2 linked regions of the Rhinolophus ferrumequinum genome follow. The protein of the gene in region 2 interacts with the protein of the main gene of each other region in a biochemical or structural test. Links are inferred from orthologs where the notes say so. Each region holds a gene or a part of one and is shown on either strand. Other genes may lie near its edges.

Region 1 (10,245 bases), on a different chromosome or scaffold from region 2:
GTCACATCTACCAGGGAGCGCTGTATGGAGCGTAGGCACTGCGCTGGGTGGGGTGGACCGTGCAGCCGGCAGATTTTGCACTTGATAAAATCATGAGAATTTTGGCTCTCGGTTCCAGTCCCCTAAACCATCGTTCCATTCTGTTGGATGATGGTTGCACAAAGGGACAAGTAGTAAGGAAGCAAGATAGTTCCTTCCAGTATCAGTGCAAACACTGCCTCCTCTCTTTAACTCTCCCCCACACACCCCAGGCTACCCATATCATGGTTCCTGTTAGCTTACAGTGGGCCTGCAATGGTGAGTTTACCTAAAGTCTTTATGAAGCATGTGCTACCTCTTAAGGGGTAATGATTTACATATGTTTACTCTCTATTGTATGAAGTTGAACTTTTTTTTTTTAATTTATGATTTCCTGTTCATTATTTCACAGGCTAAAACCTGAGTATGGATGTTATCTATTTCCATGGCCAGACATGCCTAGGAAGATATTGCTTGTTCTATAATAAAATTTTTCACTATAACCAGGCCCCTTTCAAGTTCTAAATTTTAACAAGACTATTTTATGAAACTTCCAAGTAGTGTTAATCCTATATCATGCTTGTCATTCTCTAAAATGTGGGTTTCACAAGTAAGCCTTAGTAAAAATAAGTGGAATTCCTCTTGGGGGCTCCTTCTCTTGTGCATATGAAATTTATAATTTGAAGAAAGTCATGATCTTTATCTAAGAAAGAAAGAAAGAATCTGCTTTCATAAATACATCTATAGTTGGGAACAATAGGAATGTTTGGAAATAATAACCACTTTCTAAAAGACAACATCCCCCAAAATGGCGATCTTACCCAAATGAGGAAACTTCTAATCATTTTACCTCGAATGAAGATGTCAGAAAGCTCCATGGGAAATGTAAGAGGTGTTGTTGATCAGTGTATGGATTATAAATTGGATTAGTTGCATTGTATGTGCTGTGACAATATGGTGCATAGGAAAGTATGGGCCAGGAATTAGATAAGTCAGAATTCTCTGTGGAAACATGCTGCTTTCCATGTGTCTGACCTTGAGCAAGTCAGATAACCTCACTGTGCCTCAGTTTCTCCTTATGTAAGATACAGATAAGAATAGCACCTTTCTCATTTGGTGAGCATTGAATGAGGTGACACAGGTCAAGCTTTCTAGGACAATACCTATTTCATAGTACATGCTTAAAAATAAATGTTAGTGGCTACTATTATAGCTGTTATTATTGATGTTAAAGTTGAGTGATTCCAGTTATTTCACTTAGAACAGCTGAACAGGGAAAATACAAAAGAAAAGAAAAAAGACTTAAGACCTTTTTATTATGTTAAAAAAAAAACCCTGTCATTTATTCTATGTACAAATTCTGGCAGGTTCGTGGAACCAAACTCCCTAGAAGTGGGGATGGGTATAGTAAATTATGTCCACTTCTGAGGATCTTAACATCTAGTTAGCAAGCCAAGATCCTCATACATTAAAAGTAAACAACAATAGAGCTTAAGAGTTAAAATAATATACCGTATTTTGCCGTGTATAATGTGCTCCCATGTATAACATGCAACTACATTTTTGGCCCAAAGTATCAGGGGGGAAAATCTTTCATTTTAATTTTTTAATTCAAATTTTTATCTGTTTACATTTAGGTACTTGCTTTTTGTATTATAAAGGAATTTTAGCATTTAGTTTTTAACATATTATGGTACAAGAAATTTTATGTAACAAATAATCACAAAACACAAGAACAGATACAAGGTACAAGAAATTTTATGTACTGGTAACAAATTTACGGTATTTATACATTATAGAAGGCCAAGAACTCTTTATTGTTGCAAGTTTGTTGTAAATTCAACAAAACTGATGATCCTGTTCCAGGGTATTATTTTGCACATGGGTATCATTATTGATTTACAGAGTTACACTTTTAACTCATAAGCATAAATAAAAGAATTAAAACCATTTATTTAAATACGGAATTAGTATTACCCATGTATAATGCGCACCCTTATTTTTCCCTCACAAATTTGGGCAAAAAAGTGTGCATTATACACGACAAAATATGGTAACTTATCTATAGAATTTATATATCCAATGTGTGTGGCTTCCTTAGAAATTGTTACTGCTTAAAAAATAAAATAAAAAATATCTTTTTTGAAATTTTCTACTAACATCTGCTGGGTGGGAATATAAAGTCTGTGTGTCTCTTTAAAGATCTTTTGGCAATGTCTATCAAAATGAAAACCACAGAGCTTTTGACCCAGGCATTTTACTTCCAGAAATTTATATTACAGATGTAGTCTCACACGTGTGCAAGGAAATATGTATAGAGATGTTCACTGCAGCACTGTTTATTAAACATTGAAAACAACTAAATGTCTCTCAAAGGGTTCTCAGTGAAATAAGTCACAGAAAATGTATGTGTTGGAATACTATACAGCTGTTAAAAAGAACAATGTGGATATGTAAGTGCTTATCTGTAAAAATGTCCTAATAATACTATTAAACAAAAAAAGCAGGTTAGAGACTAGCATATATGAAAAATTCATATTAAAGACAACTGATATAATATGAGCCAGAAATTCCAATTCTGGGTATACGTCCAAAAGAATTGAAAACAAGATCATGAAGAGATATTTGTACAGCTGCGTTTGTACAGCATTATTCCCAGTAATCAAACAGTAGAAGCAACCCAAATGTCCATTGGCACATGAGTGGATAAGCAAAATGTGCCATATTAACACAATGGAATATTATTCAGCCTTAAAATGGAAGGAAATCCTTCCTACAATATGGGTGAACCTTGAGGACATTATGCTAAGTGAAATAAACCAGTTACAAAAAGACAACTAGTGTATGATTCCACTTATATAAGGTACCTAAAGTAGTCCAGGTGAGAAGCAGAATGTGAAATGGTGGTTTGCCAAGGGGAGGGAGGAGGGGGAAATGGAGAGTTGTTGAACGGATGTGGAGTTTCAGTTTGGGAAGATGAAAAAGTTCTGGAGGTTGATTGCATAACAATGTGAATGTACTTAATACTATTGACATGTGTACTTTAAAATGGTTAGGATGGTAAACTTTGTTATGTGTATTTTACCACAATTAAAGTTTTAAAAACTTCAGTTGATGTATTGTGTGTCTGCTTGTACATATGTAGAAATTTCTGGAGAGTCTATTAACAGTACTAGCTTTTTTTTATTGCATACTCATTTCACTATTTAATGTTTTTATCATTTATGAACTGTCAATTTAAAAAACTTAAAATGGTTGAATAAACATCAGTAACAGCACTTTTTGGTTGCTATGTCACCTGATGCCAAAAGACTAGAAGAAACACAATTTTGTTATAATTTCCTGGGAGAGCATAATAAATGGTGGGAAAGAATGGTCAGTGAGAACACAAAGATGAGTAAGTTTTTCCTAAATGCAGAGGGCAATTCAGCCAAAGCAGGCAGAGGAAGTTCTGTGTAATTTTAGGGATGTTAAAAGGTGAAGGAAAAAAAAGTCCGGGGTATGTTTAGATGACTGAGCAGACCAATCTGACATGGGCTTCAGGGAGTGCTTGGGAATTACACTAAAAAAGTACATTGGGGCCATATTGTGGCAGGATTTAATGACCAACTGGGTCATTCAGATTCTGTTCAGATGATAATTCAGAGCCATGGAACATTTTGAACAGGGGAGTACCAGGTAGAAAGGGGATATAGGAGAATTAAACAGGCACACTAGATTGAATGCCAGTTAGACTGGGAAGGAGAGACAGGAAGGAAGTCGGACACAATAATCCAGGGGCAGGGTGATGAGGTTCAGACTCAGCATGGGCACGTACCACTCCTCATCTTTAACCATCCTCTAACCTTTCCTCTTTTCACCTGAGTTTCCCTGTGTTTCCCTTTCAAACTGCCCAGTTCCTACCAACTGGGTGCATTTTGTCCTCATTTGGTTTGCAGCCTTCTTCTTGCTTTTTTTAAAATTTTTTTTTAATTAGCTATCTAAGAGCACTTGTAGCCATCTCTAGTCAGATGTGTGGTCACTTAATATGAACAGAACATGTATCGTATATAGTTCATCTGGGTTTGTTTATAGGCATTTTTGTTTGGCTCATAAAGTTAGTGTGTTCAGACTTATATCTGCCGCCACTACCACTGCTCTGCTCCAGCTCATAGATGTTTGCTTTCTTCCTTCATTTTCTGGCCTCCAGGGTCTCCCAATTCCCCCCATTTCAAACTTCACCTCTTTCATGAGGCTTTTCCTCACTGCATCAGTCCTCAGGAATGTCTTTCTCCCTCCCAGCACTTAACACACCACTCAACAAACAGCACACATTAGCATCTAGTCAAATATGACCTTGTGTCCATATTTATATTTGATGTAGTTATGCATCCTTGTCTTTTCTGCCAGGCTCCTTGAGCTTGGTTAGCCCCCACCCAGGTACAAAGCCTGGGGGCACCAGGAGATGAGGGGATGATGGGTGGACCAGTAAAAGCTGAGGCTCAGAATCCCAAACCTGACACAGCAGGTGTCCACCACTAGATGGTGATGGCAATCAGGCATCTCCTTAGGCTCTCTGTGCCTCAGCTTTCTTATCTTTTAAATGGAGGTGTCTGCTTTGCTTGGGAAGACATAATTCTATGACTCTGGGCTAGCAATAGAAGAACCCTGGCTTCAAAACTGTCACCATCACGTAGCAGCTATGTGCTCTTTAAGTTACTTCCCTGGACCTCATTCCTCCCACATATAAAAGGTTAAACCAGAGGTTCTCACAGAGTGGTCCCCAGGATTTCTGGGCTCCTTTCAGAGGTCAAAACTATTCCCATAACAATATTCAGAGCTATTTCTCTTTTCACTCTATGAATGTACAGAGTTTTCCAGAAGCTACATTATTATATGTGATGCCATCGCTCCAATAATAACTCGTAATGGGTTTATTACTGTTATTTTAAAATGGATTAATATATTTAAATTTTTTCATCTTTTAATTTCTTAAAAAACAAATATATACAGAGGGTGCCAAAAAGATGTATACACATTTTAAGGAAAATGTATCAAAATTGTGCTGATGGTAACCACTTTGAGCACCTCTTGTAATTGCAGGTGTCAAACCTAAGACTTGTGTTCATCTTTTGTTAGGTATATATGGAGTATTACAATTTTAATAGTTTTTTCCCTTTCTTAAAATGTGTATACATGTTTTTTTGGCACCTTCTGTATTGTCCACACAACAAGAGCTCTTTAATTTTTAAGTATAAAGGCGTCCTGAGACCAAAACGATTGAGGAACCATTGAACCAGATTTCTAGAAGATCATTAAGGTCATTCACTCAACAAATAACTGGGCCTCCTGTGGCCAGGCATTTCTTTTTTTCTGATAAGGAGGCCAAGGTGACGATAAAGACATGGGCCCTGCTCTGCTGGAGTTTACATTTGGGAGGGACGACAAACGGCTATGTTAAGGAGATAATTTCTGAGAGTAGTAAGTTTCATAACGGCCTAAGGCAGCTCTCACGACAGTAACACCCGACAGCGCGAGGGCCGCCCTCCTGCCGGTGGTGGCCCCTGGGCCCTCAGCCCTCTACGTTGTCCCAGCATGGGGCGGGGGTGGGGACTGCGTCCGAGAGCTGGCGTGTGGTGACGTCACTGCCCCGCGCCAGCCAATCGCGGGCGACCTCTGTCGTAAGCACCGCGGTGGCGGGCGGCCTGCGGGCGGCGCTGTGGCCCGTCGGGCGGCCCGGCAGAGCCGCCATAGCCGCGTGCCTTCCCCTAGCCAACGTCTCCGCCGCCGGCTCCGCGCCGTAGTCATGGCCGACGTGGAAGACGGCGAGGAGCCCTGCGCCCTGTCCTCTCACTCCGGGAGCGCAGGCTCCAAGTCGGGAGGCGACAAAATGTTCTCTCTCAAGAAGTGGAACGCGGTGGCCATGTGGAGCTGGGACGTGGAGTGCGATACGTGCGCCATCTGCAGGGTCCAGGTGATGGGTAAGCGCTGCACGCTAGGCCCGGGCTGCGCTCCGGCCTGCGCGGGTCCGGGTCCGGGACGGGGGACGAGCGAAGGCTCGGAGAGACCCTTACCTGGAGGAGTGGGGGCGGGGATCGCTCTGTCCCGGCCGGTGCTGGGGCGGCCGCCAGGGGCGGTGGGGTCGCTCAACAGACGCACAGTGCCTGGGGCTGGATTTTCGGGGGAGAAACTGGCAGTAAACAGAGGAATTAAACAAGATAATTTCAGGTAGCGATGGGTGTGGCCAAGAAAATACTACTAGGTGGTTTTCTGGGAGCTGGGAGGAACCGCTTTGGTACGTGTAGCCAGTCCCAGCCCTGCGCTAAAAGCAAACCACAAAGAGGTCAGGGTAAAGGTCCTGATTTCGCAGAGCAACTTGAATGGTTCTGGTCACACACCAAAGTGGTGCTCTGGTCATCTTCCACAAAAGCGACACCCTCGGTGCTGCTGTTGAGAGATGCAGGGAAGAAAAGTGTTCCCAGCCATTGCATTCATTTCTGGATTAGCTACGGTTGTGCTGCTGCTGGCCATTAAATCTGTGCGATTCAAGACGGGTCAGACGGCACTCGCCTGGCTTGAAGGAGATTACATGTGGTTCAAAAATATTTAAGTGTCGTGGGAATTGAATAATGTGAGCCGTTTACTCAGAAACAGAATTTCATCCCCTTCCTGGCCCCTCACTCTCATAGCTTGCCATTTCCTGGAGAAGACAACTGCCCTGCGCTGAGTCAGGTCTTTGTGGAGAACCCGCTTTTACAAATATCTTACTTCTTTTTATATTTTGAATAAAAATGTCGGACCAAGTGAAACCTTTGAGAGCAGCTTCATCCCGTTTTTGTCTTATATGGTTTGTTTTAGAGTCTCAGGCCACCTTGAAAAGGAGGCGCTGTTTAAATGCAAGTTGTATATTTAAGTATGGCATTTAAAACTACTGTGAGAGCATCCAAAATGTTGTTTCTTAGGGGTAGATGAAGAAAATTGAGGTTTCTATAGTCTTGAGGTTTCTACTGTCTTGCACTGAAAATGCGAGAATTGGAGAAAATAAATAAAATCGTTGTTCCTTCTTGAGGGATAAAACTTTTAAATTTACCAGAATCAAGAGATTTCTCAATTTATAGTCTCTTTAGTGTGCTGTCTTGTTTTTTATTCATAAGGACCTGTTTCAAAGAGGATTTACAGCAAAATGGAGTTCAGATGTTTTTTGTTTTGTTTTAAAGAGCTTAACTTCAGACATGACTCACTTATTTTGTACATTAGGTTTTTAAAACACCTCGTTTATTGGCCTGCAGTGCAGCCTTCTTATCCCATACCCCACCCATTACTTAGGAATTACAATCATAATTTCCAGTTTGGGTGGCATTTTTAACTTATACAGGTGACTTAATTTTTTTGCTTTTTTGCAAGACTGGCTTTGCTAAAAATTTTGTCCCCTAAATTTCCTTTAGTCTAAAAATGAAGAATGTTTCTAAAAGCGCATTTTCTTCCCCCCCCAAAGAAAACTTTAAAACTAGTAAGTAGAAATGCAGAATTTAATGGTTGAAATCTTGCAGCAAATAAACTTTAACTGGGATATTTAAAGTAAGTCAAAGTATGGGCTATAAATGGCTCCATTCACAGTAACTTTCTAATTATAGCAAGTATTCTGCTACTGTGGATTAATGTTGCAGGTTTACAACAGCTATACTTTGAGTTCAGGGAAGTACTATAGACTAGACCTTTGTATTTTGTTTATGAGGTGTTAAAATCCACTTAGTGGTCAGGTAAACAGCAGAAGGAAATTTTTCAGACTTCCCAATCCTTATCCTACCATTACTCTAAAAGATGTTACTATTACTGCACTCCTTAAAAAAATACTGTTTTAGATACTTTTTTCTTTTATCTGAAACTTTGGGAATTTTTGTCAGTTTAGGTCAGTTTTTTATCATGAGTCTAAATCAAAGCTATAAGCATAAATCAGAGATTTCTAGATTCTACAAAAAAAGCCCACTTAACCCATTTCCTTAATACTTGGAATTCATCTCATATGCCTAAATGATTTATTATGACTTCTTGATCCAAGATTTGTCTGTCTACCCGTTTTGATGTTAACACTCTCCTCCTTGGTTTCCACTCTCCTCCCTTCATTCTGAAATGAGCAGATGGCACAGGGAAACCAGGGACCAGACTTGGTCATTTTAGTGTCATGCCCCCGTGCATAACTCCTTGCACAGAGTAGATCCTCAGTAATTGTGGAATTGAAGAAAGTCTTAGGAGGCAGTAGTTGTTTTTAATCCACACTGAAGAGGCCTGGGTGGTGTGTTTTTTTAGGGTAAAGGCATGCAGGGAGAAGCAAACAAATGGCCTGTGCATAATCCAGTGTAAGAAGAGAAGCAGGCTTCAGCTCCACCGTGTGTCTATTTTTACAGAATTAGTTTCTCCAGTTTATGTTAAAAACTTTTTTTCTGTTGGTTTGAACTTCCTTTTACCCAAGTTTGACTCCTCTTCCAGCTAGTGAATAAATCCATTCATTAGTCCCTGGCATATTGTATATTAACCTCCTTCATCAAGCAAATAGTACAGAGTGAATTTTGAAAATTTCTAATTATACCCTTTAGGTTCCCATTCCTAGTATTTACTCCCACATAATTTGTTAAAAAACCTTTGCCATTGTTGGATAAATGCTTTGGGCTCAGACTTATTTGTAAAGGGAGTATTTTCGTAAAATAAAAATAAAAATAAAAAGAGAACCTAGTATTTAGAAGGTATTTTTAATTAATTTAATTCATTTTAATTTGATTGCATAGATTATACAGTCACATCATTCAAAAATTTAAGAAAATGTACAATGAAAACTCCTTCCCATTCTATCCTCTCCCAAGTAAACTTTATTATTGGTTTCTTGTATCCTTCTAGAGTTTCTTTATGTATGTACAAGCAAATACCAATATATATATACATGGCTTATTTAAAAGGGTGTCTTCAAAATAAACTGCCCCTAGGTGTTGTTCTATGTGAGCATGCCCAGTGAGCTTATAATAACTAATAATAGAGTGGAGGATGGCATATTTTTCTCTAGTGGTTGCATCCACTGTCAGGACATCTTTTCATTAGAGTTTATAAAAATAGAGGGTCGGTAACCCTTGTGAAATTGCTCCTGATCATGAATAAACTAGTAAAGTGCCTTGTACTTTATTCACCTTTAAACAGTACGTTCAGACAAGAAATTAATAGTATGAGTCTTTTAGCTCCATCTCTAACCCTTTGGGCTCTTATTTGACTTTAAAGTGTCTGGGTTTTAAAAATTGCATTCTGAGCATCAGAATGAGAATTGCTATTTGTTTACTTTTAGATGCCTGTCTTAGATGTCAAGCTGAAAACAAACAAGAGGATTGTGTTGGTATGTTGTCATTTCGTACTCTTGCTTTTTCAACTGAAGGTTTTCTCTCAGTGGGGATGTTTGAATTTGCTGTTAAGATTGACTTTATCAATACACGAAAATAAACTGTAAAGCAGTGATCCATTATTAATATAAAATGTGTTAGTTCTCAAAAGGCCTTAATGGAATTAATCTGCAAGTTCTTTTATTATCTGTAATTAAGAAGAATTGGTTATATGTTCCAGACATGGGCATAGTAAATATTTTGATAATCAAAAAAAATAAATAATTCCTTTCTATTAAAATTATACAATAAGGAATTTGCCAAAACATTTAAATTCTGACTATGTTTATAGGTAGGTCAGTTTTGGTAGTGTTTTATTCTAATAAAGCATTTCAGTTTTCAGTATTCTTTTGTGATATAGTATTTAACTTTTTAACTAAGATAGAAAAAATTCTAAGTCTCAAGAACTTCGGGGAATGTAGTTTGTATATAGAAATCTATTAAATTTTCCTTATAGTCTGGGACTACCAAGATTCTCTTAGGCTAAATGTTTTAAACAATTCAAAGGTTTTCATGTCCTCGTACTTGAAATCATCACTTCTAGATTGCTGTATGAAAGTGTTTAAACATTTTCCTAGAATGAATGGTGAACTTATACTTTGCGTTTTTGTGGTTTACATAACAGCTTCCTAATAATGATTTATGTCATTTTGATCAAATCCTGTTTCTTCCTCCTGAAACATTAGAATGATTCCCCCTTGCTTTTTACCCCCTATAGTCAATGTTCATAAGTTTTTTTTCTTTTCTCTCTTTTTCCTGTGTCTTTCATTATTCTGTTATCATATAGCTCAGTTGGTCAAGCAAGGGACAAATGAAGCCTATGTCTGAG
Region 2 (10,533 bases):
TCATAGTCCTCAAAGACACAAGCCAAAGAAAAATTCACTCCAACTTTCAAAATTTACATCAGCTAAAAATCTTAATTCACAAATTAGCTATAACCTAAAAGTAAAGTTTAATCCCATTTAAATGTGAAGTGGGAGAGGAGTTCTTACTTCAGGTAGCCAAGAGTAATATGACGTTCATTCATCTAACTAGAAAACAAGAATTTAAATGGTTCGAAATAGCAGTACAGCATGGAGTTTAAAAGCTTGAGTTCTTGAGGTAGACTATCTCATTTGAATCCCGGTCCCTTACTAGCTCTGTGATTATAGACAAGTGACTTAATCTCTTCGTGTGTTTTCTCTTGCATACAATGTAGTGGTAAGAGCATCTATCCCAAGATTGTTGTGGGAATTGAGTTTATACTCAAAGAGTTTAGAAGCAGTGTTTACGACCCAGTAGATGCTAAGATGTAGCTATTATTAATAGCAGAATGATACTTGCAAAAGAAAACTTTTCTGAATACCAAAAACCTAAAGCATGACATGACAGGGTAGTGGTTAAGAGCACACACTGTGGAGCCAGACTGCCTAGGTTCTAATCCCAACTCTGCCACAGTACACTGCTGGGTGGTTTTAACTTCTGTCTCAAAGTTTCTAATCTCAAAATGAGGACAATAAACTGTACCTACTTCCTTGGGTTAAGATTAAATGACTTAATGTAAGTGTTTCAAACATTTCTGACATGTTGCAAATACTCAAAGCATGAGCTATTGTCCTTTTAGGCTTGGTTCACATTATATTTTATGTAAAATTCTCTTTAAACTTCCCAAAAACACATGCACTGTAGTTATTTTAATGGGAGTAGTAAAACTGTCTGACTCCCAAACACCACCAATCAATTTGGAGTTCCCCTTTTTGATTATAGTTATTTAATAAATAGCCCTATAAGACCATAGTACAGCTTGTTCCAAATAAAGAATATAGCAAAAAAACAAAAAATAAGGTTGTTTGATAAGGTTGCTTGGTCTAAGAAATATTCAAACAAACAAGAAATAAGAACTCAAGCTTTGGAAAAAAGCAAATTCAAAGGCTTGATTAAACGAACTACCAATGGTTAGATATCCCAACAATAAGCATTTCATTAAGTGAGAAATACAGATACATCTTAATATTTGGAATTCGAGGACTTCAGGTGAGAATTAAAATAAACAGGTACATGACACAAGAAATACCATACTAACATCAATGCCTACTTGACCTCATATTTCTAGAACAGGGTGCCTAAAATAAAGAGCATCTCCCATAAGTTGTTTGAATCTGGGATTTTTTGTTTTTGTTTTTAAGTTTCACTGTGATTATGACAGTAACTCTTTAAAAGCAAACTACGTACATGCCAAAACTTTTCTATAGGTTAAATCAATAAAGTCCCAATGTTGGAAAGTCATTATGTCAAGTCTGTATGCCAGGGACCTGTTCAAAACCACATATTAACCAATTTAATCCTTAAAATAAAAAAATCTAGAAATCTAAAATTTGTTTTGCTCACTGCTGCATCCCTAGTGTCTAAAATAGCAACCAGTATATACTAGGCATTCAACTATTTATTGTTCATATAAAACAAATATTCATTTTATAGAAGCACACAGATAGCTTGCCCAGTCCAACAATTCTAACTGGATCATTTTTACTCTAAAGTTCACACTCTTAACCATTATATTGCCCTTCTAGAGCTTTTAAATCATTAAAGTGGTGTCACAGCAGCTGGTTATCACCTGTAAAAGAAAAAAAATCAGTGAGACTTCCCTTTAAAGTGTTCTATTCCACATGCATAAAAAGCTAAGGATTTGAAATTATTCCACACCTTAGTGGCCTAAATTCCCATAAAAAGGTTTTGATTTGTACTAAATATTACTTTCTTTGTATTAACTATGCTGTAAAACATAACTATGCTTCTCCAATGTGTTTCTGGCCTTCAAAGGGTCAAAAAAAGGGGGTGTTTATAAATAATCCTTTTTACTTTAAGTCTTAACTCCTAAAAAGTTTAACTTCCTCTCCTTTTCCATCTCCTCAAATATACAAAGATTTAAACTTGTATTTCACATAAACCCACAATGACAATGCAATGGTCTAAAACAAAATCTAAGATTTCAGCATCAATACACTGAGTAAAGACCTAAACATTCATCTTTCATAAAAGACCAGTTTTGCCAAATAAACACCAAAGTCACACGTATTAAATAGAGAATTAAGCCGCCATCATAAGTAAGGCCAAGTCCTTGCCATTCCTTCCATGTAGAACTCTTTAAAAAAGTAACCTATCAAAACGAAAGATTCTAACCTACAACCTCCGGTCTCCTAGTTTTAGTAAGGCTGAATTTATTCCATGACATTTTTTTCAAGTTAGCTGTAAATACTCCACCCTCCTCGATTGTGCAAGAACCGAACACACCACACATACACAAGTTACAAAAAAGGGGAAATATGGTCTGAGAGTTTGAATATAGTTAAATCTTGAGCAGGAGGTCTTAGAGCAGTATACGACCTAATGTAAAAGTTAACATTTAACAAAGAATATTATTTCATTATTACGAAAGGAGATGCCGGAAAGAGCCTGAACCAGTTAAAGCAGCCGCCATCTTAAAATGCGGGATAGAAGTTAAGAGCAAGAAAATGAGACTAAACCACCGGAGGTGGAGGTTCCGCTCACCCCGACTCGAAAAATCCTCCCCCTCCCCCCAACTTAGATCGATAGTTTAGCATCAAACCACGTTTTAAGCAGTGCAACAATCTTCCCGGAGGGTGTTATTAAATGGGCCGAGGCATAAATAGGTACACCTAACCACAGCTTACTGCCATCGCACCCTCCCCCCACCCCCCACAAGCCCAAAGAGAAAGGGAGCTTCCAGAAGGCTTTTTACATCAGTTCCCGGTGTGCTCCTAATAGTTTCGGGTGAGAAGTCTGACCCGTAGGAAGTAGTAACATTGTGTCAGCCCATCTCCTCCCAACCCCACTTATTCTTGTGTAACCCGCGCAGTGATAAAGAGTTTCTAATTAGACTCATTCACTACTCTTCCGCTGGCAGAAGACTTCTACCCCGACCCCTAACAAAGTTCGGGACCCGCTGGATTTCTGATCCTTTTTCTCCGCGGAGCTTCCTACTTTCTTCCCCCTACAAAGCCTAGAGCCTTGATCTTACAACTAAAATAAGTTTTCAGGTACCGAGAATAGGAAACGCCATGACATCTGCCGGTGCGTCTCTCCTCAATTCTGACCCCCCGACAGAGGACTAACTCTTCCTTTAGAGGCAGAATCCAAGCGCCTGAAATCACTCTCCCCAATCCCGAATTTGCAGATTCCGCTGAAACATACTAAAGATAACACCCCACTTGCCACGAGTATTCCGTTCCCTACCTTTAAACCTCATAAACCTTCATAACTATACCCCCGTTCCCCATCCCCCAATGGAAGGAACGACGCAAGGAAGGATATTTTCGTAATTATACTTCCTCCACCTCATGCTTCCTCCGGGCCTGAGCCTTGCTTTCCTCCCACGACCCCGTCCCCTCCAGCTCCATAGGTTACCTTATTAATCCGTTTCAGCGCCATAGTCTGTGCTTTGCGTCTGGCTCCTCACTATCTTGGTGTGTGCTCAAAGGTCCGGCCAAAACTCTTGATTATCCCGGCGGAAGGGAAGGATTGTCTCTTCGTCTCACACCGGCTCTGCCAGACACAGGCGCCTTTTGCAAAAACGGAGCAGATCAGCACTCGAACAGGCCCCGGAGAGACCCCGATGAATCCAGGTCCCTTAAAACGGCCGCGATCCGGGGTGGGTGGGGTGGCGTGGCAACAGCCTCTATGCCGAGCTTCGGCCCGAAGAGGGGGCGAGAGTGACAGGAAGAGCGGAGGGGTGGCTACAAGTTTGACTTCCCGGCCTCTCGAAAGGAAGAGACCCGGGTGGGAGAGGAAGAGGCGTAGGAGAAAGGGGTGGGTGCGGGGCAGGGTCCGGAGCCCAGCAGAGGAGGAGCCGGGGCCTAGTCGGCGCTATGCCCGCGTCACTAGGGCAAAGAAAGGCTAGGGGGAGGGGGCAGCAGGAGGCTCCGGACTGACGCCAGGCTTCTTTCGGTTTCTACTCAAAGGTGCGGCCAGGAAGGGAAAGGAAATAAAGAGAAGCTGGATGTCTGTCGCTGTCCCCGCACCTAAGCTATTCTGTGTCGCCCCTGACGCCACTGTACACTCCGCCTTCCAGCGCGCTCCCGCGCGCGCCCGCCCAGCCACCGCCACCACGCGCCCGTGCGGCCCCTGAGGCTCCGACTTAGGCGCGAGGACGCGCCCATTCCCCCTCCCCCTTAAGCAAAAGAGGCCCCGGCTTCTCCAGCCTTCCCACCCTACCCCACCCAACAGGCTGGTCACTCAAGCCACCCAGGGCCTGTGTTTCCCCTCTTACCCGGCCGGCCACTGGGCCAGCCACCCTTCCCTTCCACACCCACGCGTACTGAGGGGCCGGGGCCTCCCTCAAGCTGCGGCCTCGGCCTCCTCCCCGCGCGGCAGCTGGTGCCTCCCCGGCCCTACGGGGCTCACGCGCACGACACAGCCACAAGATGTCCGCTCTGACGGAACTACTGCCAGCTGCCACGCTCCGCCCCTCCCCCCTCCTCCTGCCTCTTCACCGCCGCGTATCAGTCCGCCAACGCCGCCGTCGCGAGCACAGGACGAATCTAAGGATGCAGGGGGACGGTTTACTGCCGAAGTCCAGAACTGAGTGTGTGCTACCCCCTTTTTTTTCTTTTTAGAACAGCACCCTCTTACTAAACAGATCGGAGGTTGGACAGGGAGGGCGGGGGCCGGAGGCGGGTCATGGGCTGGGGGGAAGGGTAGACGAGCGGCGGAAACCCTTAGACTCAGAGAAGCATCGAGAACCGGAAGGAGACCATGGGAGGAAGGTAATGGAAACGGCAGCTGCGCGGCCGACCCCACGCCCCTCCCAGCAGCATCCCCCAATTTCCTCACTTGGTATTGAGGAGGCGGATCTCGCGAGAACCTCGTGGCTGGCTCACAGGAGCTGTAGGTCTGCAATGATTTAAGGGCAGTTTTGTGCGCTTTTCCTGATCGGGGCCCGCCCTCAAACCACAAGTTCTCGCGAGATGCAGTGAGGCACCGGCTGGGGCTGGGACGGTCGGTCGCCGGGGAAGCACCGCCCCTGAATGCTTATGCTGGTGGGAGGGAGAGGAAATGGAATTCCCCGGACTGGTAAGAGCGCGCGCCGACACATCCCTCTCTCACGCGCCCAATCAGGAATGTGCGGTGGGAGGTACCATGGATTAATTACTAGATACCTTTAGTCCGGGTTGACCCGGGCTTTTGAAGTTTCCGGTGAAGCAGGTGAGCGACTTTTACTCGCCTACCGGTCTGGGCTGGTTAACCAGAGGGAGGAGGCGCCCCTCAAAATGGGAACAGTAATTTAAAATAGAATCTAGCGGACAGCTGATCAGCGACCCTACCTGCCGAATCTAGTGTATTGTTGACCCTACAGGATAAATGCTGAGAAGAGCGGGCCCATAGACCGGCTCCCAGCAGAGCAGTTTAGGAATCCAGATCAACTAAATTGATTAGAATGGAGGATAGGGAGATAGGGGTGGGCTGTTCACTGGTCCCTGTAATCAACTCCACCATCCGCCATGGTTTAAATATGGGAATAAACTTAATACCTTTTTCTTCCTGTTGATATGTGTCCATTCCTAGAGCCACAACATTGTGAAACTCAAACAATAAATCAAAGTTTTGGGTCAGAAAAACTTAATACTGAAACATCCAGGGGAAGAAATACAAGGATAAGATTGGCCTGTTTTGATCTGCCTGTTGTGAAGTATGGGAGAGGATGGTTTTGCTCTCTAGTGTTTTCTTCGGGCAAAGGTTAGTAAGACATTAATTTTTAAAAGGAAGCTTAAAGTTTTCTAATATTACTTAATGACCCTACTTACCGAAGTGGAGATCTCTAAGAATTAAATGAAATACAAACTTCTTTTAAAAACACACTTTAAAATAGGAAAGCAGCAAGTTATTTCCTGTTACAAGAAATATTACCTAATTAAAACTTCATAGGTTGTGATAAATGAGCTAATATACAGAGGATGCCAAAAAAATGTAAACACATTTAAAGAAAGGAAAGCTGTATTAAAATTGTAATACTCAATATACCGATAACAAAAGATGAATACAAGTCACATTTGACTTTTGCAATTACAAGAGGTGCTCAAAATGGTTACCATCAATGAGCGTCCAGACACTTCTGGTTACAGTGAACTACTGCTTGAGCATCATTGACCCAAGTGTCTATTTGCATACATTTTTTTGGTACCCCGGTATACAGTTCTAGTGACCATACTAGTGTCACTAGAGCAATTACTGAAACAGTGCTTCTCAAACTAGTATCTATACGAATCACCTAGAGATTTTGTTCAAAATGCGGATTTTGATTTAGTAGTCTGGGGTAGAGCCTGAGATTCTAATAAACATTTCTAATAAAGATTATACAGAAGACCTGTGTGAGAGTAGCAAAGCACTAAAGTGCTCACCTCATGGTGTACAGGACACCTTTGCCCACTTCCCCCCACCCCACCATCTTTGCTTTGTTCTTTCTTTTAACTGGTCTAATATAGTAGAAACACAGGTTAGGTGACTGGAGTGGAGGGAGAAATCCAGGTTTGACTTCTAGCTCTATTCCCAGTTGTGTGATATGGTACTTTCTAAGTTTCTTCAACACTAAAGAAGGCATAATAATAGCTGTCCTTTCTCACAGGGTTATTATGTGGTTCAGATGTCATAATGTATGTGAAAGGGCACTGTAGAATAAAGTGCTGTATAAATGTAAGTTATTAAACTAATCTGTCAGACGTTAACTGGCCATATTGTGAAACAAATCTGTAAGAATATTAATATAGGTAATATTTATGGAACACTTGTCATGTACCAGGTACTGTGCTTGTTAACCCCCTTTACAAATAAAGAAACTGATGCATGGCGAGATTAAGTTACTGTCCCTAGGCCACACAGCTAATAAATGGCAGAAGTAGAATTTGAAACCAAGTAATTAACTTCAGAGTATGTATTGAATGGAGTTTCATATTGTCTCTTAATTTAGAAAGTAAGATGTTTTATGTTTCTACTTTCAATGCCATCTTAATCTAATTTTGACTAATTTCTCCCTTTGTAATAGTTTTGTTCTTTCAGAAGCCAAGGTTCAAGGGTGGTAGGAAACATTCCTACCTACCCAAAGGGAACTCAAAATATCCAAGAGGCCCATGAAAGTCCTGGAGAAGCCAATTTGTATTACCCTAATTTAAATAAGCTTCAGTATGAAAGTTTAATGGCACGTGTTAAGGCACTGAATTAACAGAGCACAGCAGACTGGGACAGATTTTAAATGAGAGTTCTTAATTTTTTTGGTGCCACAAACTACTTTGGCAGTCTGGTGAAGCCATGGACTCTTCTCAAAATAATGTTTTTAAATGTATAATGTAAAATTCATACCCATTATAAAAGAAAACATTTGGAAATAGAGTCTCAAAATATTAAAGAAAAACAAATTTTTGATATAGGAATATATGTGGTTTATTAACACAGTAAGATCAAATGATGGGTCTAGTAAAGACCAAATTTTTGAAATAGTGATGAACATAAACATTTCTAGAGTTTGCAAAAGTTGTAGTATAAAGTATCTATGAGTTCTGTTGGTGACAGAGACATAGGTACAACTGTTTGTTGCTTACATTCAAAATGGAAGGAAATGCTAGTTTTTAGACATTAGTAAAAATAAAAAATTTATTTTTTCACATCCAAGTTCACACCCTGATTTCTATCCATGAACTACATATTTGAAAAACCTTAGGTAGAGTCAGTCCTAAGGCTTATTCCTGTTGGAATAAGCACAGAATTACATAGAATTGTAATTGATATTCATAGCAATCGTGATTCATCAAGAAAAAGTTTACCACCAGTATACTCTCCTTAAGAAGGCATGGAAGTGTGTAATAGGTTTAGGAAATAGTTTTATCCCATTTGTTGACTTTTTTGTTATTTTGATGCCTATGAAGTTACCCTATGAAAAATTTACTATCCAGAATGATTCATTTCCTATGCATTCTAGATAACTTAGGTTTTACTATATCACTCTTATTTATTACTCATCTTTACAAATAAGATGTGGTGGAAGAATTGTAAAATGAAAATAACCAAGGATGAAAGAAATTAAAATACTATATATTAAAAAGTCTTAAAAATAAGTGTTAATAATTATTATTTGAAGTACTATATGCTGAGTCCTTTAATTCATTATCTCATCAAATCCCCATTATACAGATGAAATACTCAAGGTCATATAATTATTAAGTAGAGCCAGGATTTAAATCTAGGCAGCGTGACCTCAAGATTCACACTCTTAACCACTAAGCTGTTTGACTTTTTAGCCTTTCGACTATTAGCCAACATTAATTTGCCCACTAGTACAGCAAATACATATTAACAACCTCATAAATTTATGCATTTCTTAGTATTCCAAGTCAAATTCCATCCAGTGACTAAAAGGAATGTTCTAAATTCTCCCTTTGTAGAGTTATTGCTTATCTTCAGCACCACCTTTAAATAAGTAGGCTACCAGTTGGGGCTCGAAAATTGTTCCACAGGAAGTTTTGTTGTAATGGAGTTTTGCTTAGAAGATGAAGATATTCACTCATGCCCTTCCCTGCCCTACAAGCATGCATCTGAAATTAAACTTTGTTTTATAATGGTGCCACTGTTTTTTTAATTGACCACTATCAAGATTTCATACAACAAATGATGACATGAATAAATCCTAATATATGAAGTTCTAGATTATCCATTGTGTAATCCCAATTTATTTGGGAATGAAGTAAATTTATTGGTTGATTATGCCGTTTGTATTTACACTAGCAAACTTAACGTTTCTACTCAGTCTTGCTAAGGTTAAAACTAAACATGGCTTGAAAGCATTTTGAGGCTTGAGGTAGTCTAGTATTCACTCAAACCTTAAAATACTATTTGCATTTGTAGTGTTAGAGAGAGCCCACTTTTAATTTCAAATAAAGCTGACTTTATTCACTTGACTTATTTGACTAATACTGGTACTGAAATGTTTCCATCTGAAAAAGGAAAGGAAAATACCATTTTTAAAAATACTGCAGTTTGTGGGCACACTGGTGGCTCAGGTGGTTGGAGCTCTGTGCTCCTAATGCCAAAGGCTCCCGGTTCAATTCCCACGTGGGCCAGTGGGCTCTCAACCACAAGGTTGCTGGTTCGATGCCCGCAAGGGATGGTGGGCTGCGCCCCCTGCAACTAACAGCAGCAACTGGACCTGGAGCTGAACTGCGCCCTCCACAACTACGATTGAAAGGACGACGACTTCGAAAAAATCCTGGAAGTACACACTGTTCCCCAATAAAGTCCTGTTCCCCCCTTCCCCGATAAAATCTTAAAAAAAAAAAAAATTGCAGTTTGCAATGTACTAAAAAGATTATGGTTTTATGTATTGAAAGAAACAATTACATTTAAAAATTAATGCAGGTATAAAATGTTGAAAAGATGCACTAAAAACAATTTCATCCTTAATGAATATTATATTGAAGTCTCAAAAACTTCCTAATTATGGTAGATCAGATTATCTTACATGAATTGGCATAAAACTTGAGAAACATATAAAGGATCAAAAAAATTAGTATAAAAGTGGCAATGATAAAACTAATCCAAATAATGAAGGTGTGCCAAAGTCTAATATTATGTGAATGCATCAGTGTAGCCACATAATAATAACTTGAGTACAAGGGTTAATAAAGATATATTTGTGAATATAGTTAACATAGATTAGTAATGTTTAATGTATCTATGTTTTCAGATCTTTGTAACTGTCTCACAGAATTTTATAACTTGCTAAGGACACTGTCTCTAACACAGTGTATGCCATTTTATTGGTTAAATTGTAAATGCTATGGTCCAGATTTTATATCCAGAATGCACGTTGACATATTCTGGTTGGAATAGGTAAATTAGAGCCCAAGTCAATGAAAGGTTATTTCATATGGTTTGCATAAAAATCAAATGAGTTTCTATCTTACCAGTTCATAATCTCATTTTTATGATCAATACAAAGTAATGTAGTTTGGGAAACTTTCATGCTAAGCACATCAATTAACCTTAAATTAAGATGGGTTTTGGCATATAATGAACCATGCAAAAATGAGCTAAAAATAAAGTTGAATATTTTCCACATAAAACCTTGTATACATGAATGTTCAGAGTAGCATTATTCATAATAGCCAAAAAGTAGAAACAACCAAATATCAGCTGATAAATGGATAAATAAAATGTGGTATATCCATATAATGGAATTGTATTAGTTAATAAGAAGGAACACAATACTGATACATGCTACAACATGTATCTTAAAGCTTGAAAGTATTCTGCAAAGTGAAAAAGCTAGACACAAAAGGCCACCCATTGTATGATTCCATTTATATATGACATGACTGGAATAGGGAAACCCATAG

Evidence for each region.
Region 1: the proteins of UBE2D3 (region 2) and RNF7 form a complex in vitro, tested with the Homo sapiens proteins (5 studies listed by BioGRID). The link is inferred for Rhinolophus ferrumequinum from reciprocal best matches to the Homo sapiens genes UBE2D3 and RNF7.

What each region holds. Positions count from the first base shown.
Region 1 is NC_046300.1:40,075,562-40,085,806, forward strand, and holds the start of RNF7 (RING-box protein 2), read left to right. Parts: upstream 1-5,688; 5' UTR 5,689-5,803; coding exon 5,804-5,978; intron 5,979-9,325; coding exon 9,326-9,373; intron 9,374-10,245. Other genes in the region: uncharacterized protein LOC117036621, read left to right, coding at 1-85. UniProt on the Homo sapiens protein: Catalytic component of multiple cullin-5-RING E3 ubiquitin-protein ligase complexes (ECS complexes), which mediate the ubiquitination and subsequent proteasomal degradation of target proteins.
Region 2 is NC_046288.1:53,686,940-53,697,472, forward strand, and holds the start of UBE2D3 (ubiquitin-conjugating enzyme E2 D3), read right to left. Parts: upstream 5,115-10,533; 5' UTR 4,985-5,114; intron 4,626-4,984; exon of another isoform or gene 4,422-4,625; intron 3,715-4,421; 5' UTR 3,584-3,714; coding exon 3,560-3,583; intron 1-3,559. UniProt on the Homo sapiens protein: Accepts ubiquitin from the E1 complex and catalyzes its covalent attachment to other proteins. In vitro catalyzes 'Lys-11'-, as well as 'Lys-48'-linked polyubiquitination.